2 linked regions of the Oryctolagus cuniculus genome follow. The protein of the gene in region 1 interacts with the protein of each later gene in a pairwise test. Links are inferred from orthologs where the notes say so. Each region holds a gene or a part of one and is shown on either strand. Other genes may lie near its edges.

Region 1 (3,500 bases):
GGCTGGGTGTGGGAAAGTCCTGGTGATAAGGCGGTGAGGTCGGGAGGGCGGGGCTCCTGCGGGTTCTCAGCTGGTGGTGCCTGGAAGTGGTGTTTGGGGAAGATTAAGCTGGCGGCAGCAGGGGAGCAGGAGAAACCAAGGCAGTTAGACCAGTTAGGAGGCTTTGGGGTAATCCCAGGGTGAGCAGCAGGGTCTGGGCTGAGAGTCAGAGGCGTTTCACGAGCCCCTGTTGACTGATTTATGGGCCCCTGGGAACCTCCGCCTTTGATGTGGGCACGGCAGGGAGGCAACGTTGAGGCTGCGGAACTTCGCAGAACTTCTCAGAGCCTTGAATGTGTCCGTGCACACCAAGAATTCTTCAGGCACGGACTCCAGCATTCAAATATCAGGAACATTAGACTATTAGAAATAAGCACTTCTAGTAAGCAACGTTAGGAGTAAATATGCAAGCACGGCCTGTAGCATTCGGGTTTTTCCCTCACTGGGGCCCCTTTGGGCGTTCATTTGGGGCCAACCTGCATGAGAGGATAAAGGCAAGGGAGGGCTAGGGCTACGCGGGGAATGGAGGGCTGGCAGCAAGCAAGGTGCTGGGAAGGTTTCTGGGTGTTGGAGAGAGGGTGTGGCCTGGACCAGTCAGAGGGAGGACAAAGAGGAAGCTAAGGTCAGGCGGAGTGCCAAGCTGAAAATCTAGATTGGAGACGTCCCATCCTGATTGTCTGAGCCTCCCCCAGGGCCTCTGTGGGGAGCCGCCCGCCTTGTGTTGTAAGGGCCAAGTGAGGGGAGAGAAAGCCGCGTCTCTGCTGCCCCCTCATGTCCGTGAGAGGTCCTGCAGGCACTCGCCCTCTAGCCAGGAGGACTTTCTTCAGCAGCGCCAGGCTCTGGGTCTCAGACACCTTTGGGTCAGGGGCGATGGCTGGGGGGAAGATACCAAAGAGGAAGCAGAGAAGAGCGGTGTGAAGGTAGCAAGAGCCAGGCTTCAAGGAGCGTCGCGAGGCCCGTGCCTGAGGGGTCATTGCCTTTCAGGCGTGGGCTCCTTTCTCCTGTACTCCGTGCATGAGGGAATTCGGGGAATCCCCTTGGATCCCAATGACAAGTCAGACGCCCTGGTCCCTGTGTCAGGGACCTCGCTGGCTGTTGGCATCGACTTCCATGCTGGTGAGACATTGGGTGACGGGGGATGGCGGGACGTGACCCAGGAGCTTGGGGACCTGCACTGGCCCCCAGCACCTGACACCTGCTGCATGATTCTGGCCCCTGGTCTTGCCCCCGCCACACCGGGTATCCTCACGTGGGCACCTCCACTTGCAGAGAACGACACCATTTACTGGGTGGACATGGGCCTGAGCACCATCAGCCGGGCCAAGCGCGACCAGACCTGGCGAGAGGACGTGGTGACCAACGGCATTGGCCGTGTGGAGGGCATCGCAGTGGACTGGATCGCAGGTGGGTGCTGGGGCGCCTCAGAGGGGATGGGAGAGGAAGTCGGCAGGGACAGATGGACAGCTGCAGGGGTCCCTGGGGCTGTGTGCGTGCCCCCCACCAACCTCCCTGCACCCCACTCCCTCCGCAGGCAACATCTACTGGACAGACCAGGGCTTTGACGTCATCGAGGTGGCCCGGCTCAATGGCTCTTTCCGCTACGTGGTCATCTCCCAGGGTCTGGACAAGCCCCGGGCCATCACTGTGCACCCGGAGAAGGGGTGAGCAGCTGGACGGGCTGGCTCGGGGCCAGCCCTGGCACTTTTGTGATCTGGGTTCTCACGCCCGTCCCCTTCGTCTCCACACACAGGTACCTGTTCTGGACTGAGTGGGGCCAGTATCCGCGCATCGAGCGCTCGCGACTGGATGGCACCGAGCGGGTGGTGCTGGTTAACGTCAGCATCAGCTGGCCCAACGGCATCTCCGTGGACTATCAGGTTTGGGCGTGACCATGGAGCCGGTGGGGAGAGCCCCGGCCAGTGAGAGAGCAGAGGGCAGGGGCCCAGCTCCCACCCAGAGCAGGACTCCTCTACCCCAGAGGCGACGTGCAGAGCAGAGGGACCCGGGGGACGGGCAGGGGTGAGTGGGGAGAGCAGGGGGTGGGGGTCCCGGAGTGAGGTGGCATCTGTGCCCGCAGGATGGGAAGCTGTACTGGTGCGACGCCCGCACCGACAAGATCGAGCGCATCGACCTGGAGACGGGCGACAGCCGCGAGGTGGTCCTGTCCAGCAACAACATGGACATGTTTTCCGTGTCTGTGTTTGAGGACTTCATCTATTGGAGTGACCGGTGAGGGCTGCTCTTCCGTGTGCCGTCCTCACCCCGTCCCTGCCCTGCGCGCGCCCCGCTCACGCCTCTCCCTGCCCCCAGGACTCACGCCAACGGCTCCATCAAGCGCGGGAGCAAGGACAACGCCACCGACTCCGTGCCCCTGCGAACCGGCATCGGCGTCCAGCTCAAAGACATCAAGGTCTTCAACCGCGACCGGCAGAAAGGTGTGAGGCTGGCGCTCTGGGCCAGGGCCAGAGCGACAGGGGCTGGGAGAGAAGGTGGAGCCTGGAGGGGTGCCCTCCAAAGGCCTGAGAGACCAGGAATGGGGGGAGGGGAGAGGCTGGCGACAAGGGCTGATCTGGGAGTTGAGGGATGAGGGCCTGGAGGGTTGACTGAGCTGGGGATGCTGAGGCAGAGCAGGCGCCAAGGTCAGGGTCCAGGTGACAGGAGCACCAGAGAGCCCCTCCCCCAGGCAGACCCTGCCCCCTGTGACCTCCCCCTCCCCCCAGGCACCAACGTGTGCGCCGTGGCCAATGGCGGGTGCCAGCAGCTTTGCCTGTACCGGGGTGGGGGCCAGCGAGCCTGCGCCTGCGCCCACGGGATGCTGGCGGAAGACGGCGCGTCCTGCCGGGAGTACGCCGGCTACCTGCTCTACTCGGAGCGCACTATCCTCAAGAGCATCCACCTGTCGGACGAGCGCAACCTCAATGCACCTGTGCAACCCTTCGAGGACCCCGAGCACATGAAGAATGTCATCGCCCTGGCCTTCGACTACCGGGCGGGCACCTCCCCGGGCACCCCCAATCGCATCTTCTTCAGTGACATCCACTTTGGGAACATCCAGCAGATCAATGACGATGGCTCGGGGAGGACCACCATCGTGGAGAGTGAGTGCCCGGGGGCCGGGGGGGCCGCCACAGACTCTCACAGCCCTCCCCTGCCCCACATCCGAATCCCACCTGCCGCACTGTCCCACAAAAGTGGCAGTCCAGCTGCGCTGAGCCCGCTGTCAGCTACATAAAAGTCTCCTTATTTGGAGTCGCTGTTGCCCAACCCCCCTCCTCCCTTGTCATCCCCTCCCCCATTCCTCCAGGGATGCCCAGAGTCAGGCCAAAGTCTGGAGCCCAACACTCACAGCTCCGGCTGCAGACACAAGCTGGGGTTCCACGCTGGCCCCTTAGGATCTCAGCAACTTGCACAGGCTTGCTTCCCTGGTCAAGCCTGGGTGTGCTGGGCTGTGTAGGGAGACG
Region 2 (4,114 bases), on another chromosome or scaffold:
CTGTGCGGGACAGTGTCTGGGGTTCTCAGGCGGCCACAGAAGCAGCCACTGCGGACTGGCCAGAGGCTACAGACCACCCAGAAGGGGACCCTGGGCTTGGCAGTCCATGCTCTGAATAAACTCAGGTGGGGGCCAGCGCTGCGGCTCACTAGGCTAATCCTCCACCTGCAGCGCCGGCACACCGGGTTCTAGTCCTGGTCGGGGTGCCGGATTCTGTCCCAGTTGCTCCTCTTCTTGTCCAGCTCTCTGCTGTGGCCAGGGAGTGCAGTGGAGGATGGCCCAAGTCCTTGGGCCCTGTACCCCATGGGAGACCAGGAGAGGCACCTGGCTCCTGCCTTCGGATCAGCGCGGTGCGCCGGCTGCAGCATGCCGGCCGCGGCAGCCATTGGAGGGTGAACCAACGGCAAAAGGAAGACCTTTCTCTCTGTCTCACTGTCCACTCTGCCTGTCAAAAATAAATAAATAAATAAAAATAAAAAACTCAGGGACGCTGAAGGCCCAGGCTTACCTCAAAGGGGTGAGAAGACAGGAGGAAGCCATGGCCCAAACCCAGCAGGGGTGGGAGTCAGTGGTGGGGCGGGGGAAGGCCCAAGTCTGGGTGCCTGGCTGCCAGTGGTGCAGCAGAGGTGCTGTGAAAGGTCTGACCACAGCGGGGAGGCGCCTGCTCTGTCCTCGCTGGTGGACTCTCCATTGGCTGAAGGGAGGCTTGGGTCAGCTCCTGCAGCATTGGCGTCTCCTGTCATCCTGACAACTGCCATGGGGGCATAGTATTGTCACCATTTCACAGGTGAGAGAAGCACATTTTGGGGCCCTGACGTCACTGACCAAGGTCCCCCACCCTCTCATTTGTGGAGCCAGGCAGTGAGCTGACAGCGCCTAAAAGTTGCCTCTCCGGGACTCCACTCACAGCCCAGGGACCCTCCTTTCCCGCCTGCCTCCTCTGTCTCTGCCCGGGGTGGCCCAAGAGGGTCTTGGGGGCCAAGGGGCCATTGGTTACCTGATGCCGGAGGGCATCGCCAGCAATGGGGATGGGGGCGCCCTGCGAGGTTGGGGGCGGGCAGGTTCGGATTAGGACGGGGCGGGGCCAAGCCCGAGCCGCGGGGGCCGTGCCTTCAGCACCATGGAGAGCGCCGCCTCTGGGGCGGGGCCGGCGGCGCGGGGGCGGGGCGCACGAGACCCCGGCCCGGCCCGGGGGTGCGCGCGGGGGCGCTCTCGCCAGTGCCGCCAGCCGCGCGCCGTCGGGAACCGCGCCCTGCCCTGCGCAGGTGCGCCCGCCGCGCCCTCCCCGCCCGAGCCCCGCGGCGGCGGCGGCCTCTCCCGCGCCCCCGCCCGCTGCTCCGCCGCCGCCGCCGCCGTCTCCCCCGCGCCGCGCTCCGCCCGGATGGCCAGGGCTGTGCCCGAGAATGGCGGAGCGAGAAAGCGGCGGCCTGGGCGGGGGTGCCGCGTCCCCGCCGGCCGCCTCCCCGTTTCTGGGGCTGCACATCGCGTCGCCTCCTAATTTCAGGTGAGCATCCCCAGCCGCCGCGCGCCCCGCCCTTCCACCGGCACCGAGGCGCCGAGGCCCGCGCTCCCCGCCCCGCAGCAGCTCGGGGCGGCGTGGGGCTGGGTCGCTTCCCTGCACCGAGGCCCTAGGAAGCCAGCCTCGGTCTGGACGGGTAGCCTGTGCCGTGCAGCTTCCGCCGCCATTGCGCGTCCTCGGGTGCAAGGTGATGAGCTGGAATTGGAGGAGGGGGCTCCGAGGACGCCCTCTTCCCTACTGCGGGGCCGCAGTCTGGGCCTGGGGTCTGGGTCGAGGTCGAGAGCAGGCAGGCCAACTGGGCTTTTGCCTGTGCTGGTCTGAGTGGAGAGGGGAGCGGCCAAGGGTGGCACTGGGGTCTGTTTCACCGGGTAACCGACAGCCTTGGTGCTGGAAGGCGGGAGTGTGGATCCCTCCCCCAGCCCTGCCTGGCCAGATGGGCCCGACTGCCAGGCCGGCATAGTCAGGACCCGGTGTGGAGCTGGGCACCCCAGCCCAGCCAGATGTGTCTCAGGGCAGGTGCAGCTGGCCCAGCCTCAACCAGGGGACTCCTGGGCCTGGCTGCTGGAGTCTGCCTAGGGGTAGCCAGGGACATGGGCAGGGGGACTGTGCTGAGCGAGTACCCGGGACTCTGGCCTCAGCTCCCCTCCCATCTGGTGTTAGGCCAGGTGATTTTCAGGGCTGTGAAGGGTGGGTGGGTGGGGCAGAGAGGAATGCACCTCCCCTCCATGCTGCTGGCTTTTGGGAGAAAGCAGCCTGGACAAACTCCATTGTTTCGCCATCTCCTGAGCTGGCGCCTTGCGGTCTCCTGGGGCCCCTGCCCCAGCCAGGGCTCAGCTGGGGCTTTAATACCAGCCCCTTCTCTGAGCAAGGGGTCTGTGGCTCCCAGGCCCTCAGGTGCACAGGGACCCCTGGGGGTCTCTAATGGCATCATCAGGCCCTGAAGCCTCCCCGGGGGCTCTGAGCTGAGCCCAGAGGACAGAGGGAGGCTCCAGGACTGCAGCCCCTGGCAAGACACAGAAGGCCTCCCCAGCAGGAGGCTGTCCCACAGTGGGAGAGCGTGGGGCTCGGAGGGCCCTGGGTCCAGATCCTGGCTCGGCCACTTCCCCAGTGCCTGCCCCACGCGGGTGTCTGGCCCCTGTGGGTTCCATCGGTTGAGTGGGATCTTTAGTATTGACTCCTGCCTGGGAAGGAGGCCATGTCCACGCAGTGGGTGTCCAACAAGTGGCAGCCCACGTGCATGCCGACACAAGTGGGGCTCCCCAAGCCCTCTCCAGGGCTGGCCCACTGCGCCCTCACAGCCACCCCCAGGGGGCTCAGCCTACCCATTCTACAGATAAAATAAATGATCCAGATTGAGGAGGGCAGCTGGCCTGGCCCCCAGGTCTGTGCGTTCTGTCCCCTGCACCCCCGGCCCCACCTCTGCCCCCCCCCCCCCCCCGCTCCCCTGGCCTCTGGCAGGTGCAGCTCTCATGCAGTCTCTAATGAGAGGAGCTATGGTGGCAAACACTGGGAGTGAGTGTGCCCAGCCCTGGCCGGAAGGCTGAGGCGTGGGCCGGCCGGCCAGGACACCATGGCCTAGCAGTGGGGACGAGGCCAGCTCGTGGGAATAACAGCAGCCCCTGTCTCTGGCCCTGCATGCCTGGCCTCCGGCGCCAGCAGCCCCCGCTGCCCTTTCGCTTATGCTGCTCCCTCACAGCCCTTGGCCCAGCTCCACGGAGCCCTGGGCAGCTAGGGCTGTGTTACGGCTGCGTGATGAGGTCATGGGCCCCACTGCTCCGGGTTTGCATCCTGGCTGGGCCTTCTTAGCTGTGTGCTCCGGTACTGGGCTCGTAACCCCTCTGAGCCTCCCTGTCTTGTTCTCCAAGGTGCTAGTTTGGCCCTTGCTCGGGGTGAGCCTGAGCCCACACATGTGTGTGGCTGCACCCTGGGCCGCCGTGAGCCCCCAGCAGGCGTTGGGGGTCCGCCCCAGCTGCTCAGCACAGAGTAGGTGCTCGGTGACGCCCTACTGGTGTGCTCCCTAGCTGAGGACAGGGTTGGGCACTGGAGCGGTGGATTTGCCCAGGCGCCACCCTGAGAGCTGCGTGTGCGCATGCGCGAGCCAGAGCACGTGGCCCTTCCCACGCCCGTCCCACATGCCCGGTGCTGTGAGTCTCCATGCTCTGCAGGTGCGGAGACCGGAGCCCTGGAGAGGTTAGAGAAGCAGCAGAGCTGGGGTCTGAACCCAGGCTGTGCGATTGCAGAGCCAGCCCCCAGTAAGACAGAGCCCTGGCGCACTTACTGGGGGAGCGTTTGCCGAGCGGGTGAGTGGGAGGCCGGGCGCGGGGGGAGGGGGGGGGGGCGGGCGCTTCTCGGGTATTGCGGGTTGTTTGTCCTGAGTGCTGTTGCAGTCGGTTACTAGTGGTTACCTCTGGGTGCGGGACAGGGTGGGGACCTCTGCCTCTCCTTCACGCATTTCTGTGTATTGGAGTTTTTATTTTTTTATAATGAGCACAGTTATCTGTATACCTCGCAAAATAATAAAAGAAAATGTTATTAAAGTGATACATGTTCATGACCAAGAAGAGAATGTAGCAATTTACACAGCGGGTACACTGG

The links. The genes of interacting proteins can lie anywhere in the genome.
Region 2: the proteins of LRP1 (region 1) and MAPK8IP1 interact in a two-hybrid assay, tested with the Homo sapiens proteins (2 studies listed by BioGRID). The link is inferred for Oryctolagus cuniculus from reciprocal best matches to the Homo sapiens genes LRP1 and MAPK8IP1.

The regions. Positions count from the first base shown.
Region 1 is NC_091442.1:59,825,494-59,828,993, forward strand, and holds part of LRP1 (prolow-density lipoprotein receptor-related protein 1), read left to right. Parts: intron 1-1,023; coding exon 1,024-1,155; intron 1,156-1,308; coding exon 1,309-1,443; intron 1,444-1,570; coding exon 1,571-1,700; intron 1,701-1,789; coding exon 1,790-1,916; intron 1,917-2,116; coding exon 2,117-2,268; intron 2,269-2,349; coding exon 2,350-2,474; intron 2,475-2,759; coding exon 2,760-3,137; intron 3,138-3,500. UniProt on the Homo sapiens protein: Endocytic receptor involved in endocytosis and in phagocytosis of apoptotic cells. Required for early embryonic development. Involved in cellular lipid homeostasis.
Region 2 is NC_091432.1:20,079,097-20,083,210, reverse strand, and holds the start of MAPK8IP1 (C-Jun-amino-terminal kinase-interacting protein 1), read left to right. Parts: upstream 1-1,314; 5' UTR 1,315-1,403; coding exon 1,404-1,504; intron 1,505-3,040; exon of another isoform or gene 3,041-3,819; intron 3,820-4,114. UniProt on the Homo sapiens protein: The JNK-interacting protein (JIP) group of scaffold proteins selectively mediates JNK signaling by aggregating specific components of the MAPK cascade to form a functional JNK signaling module. Required for JNK activation in response to excitotoxic stress.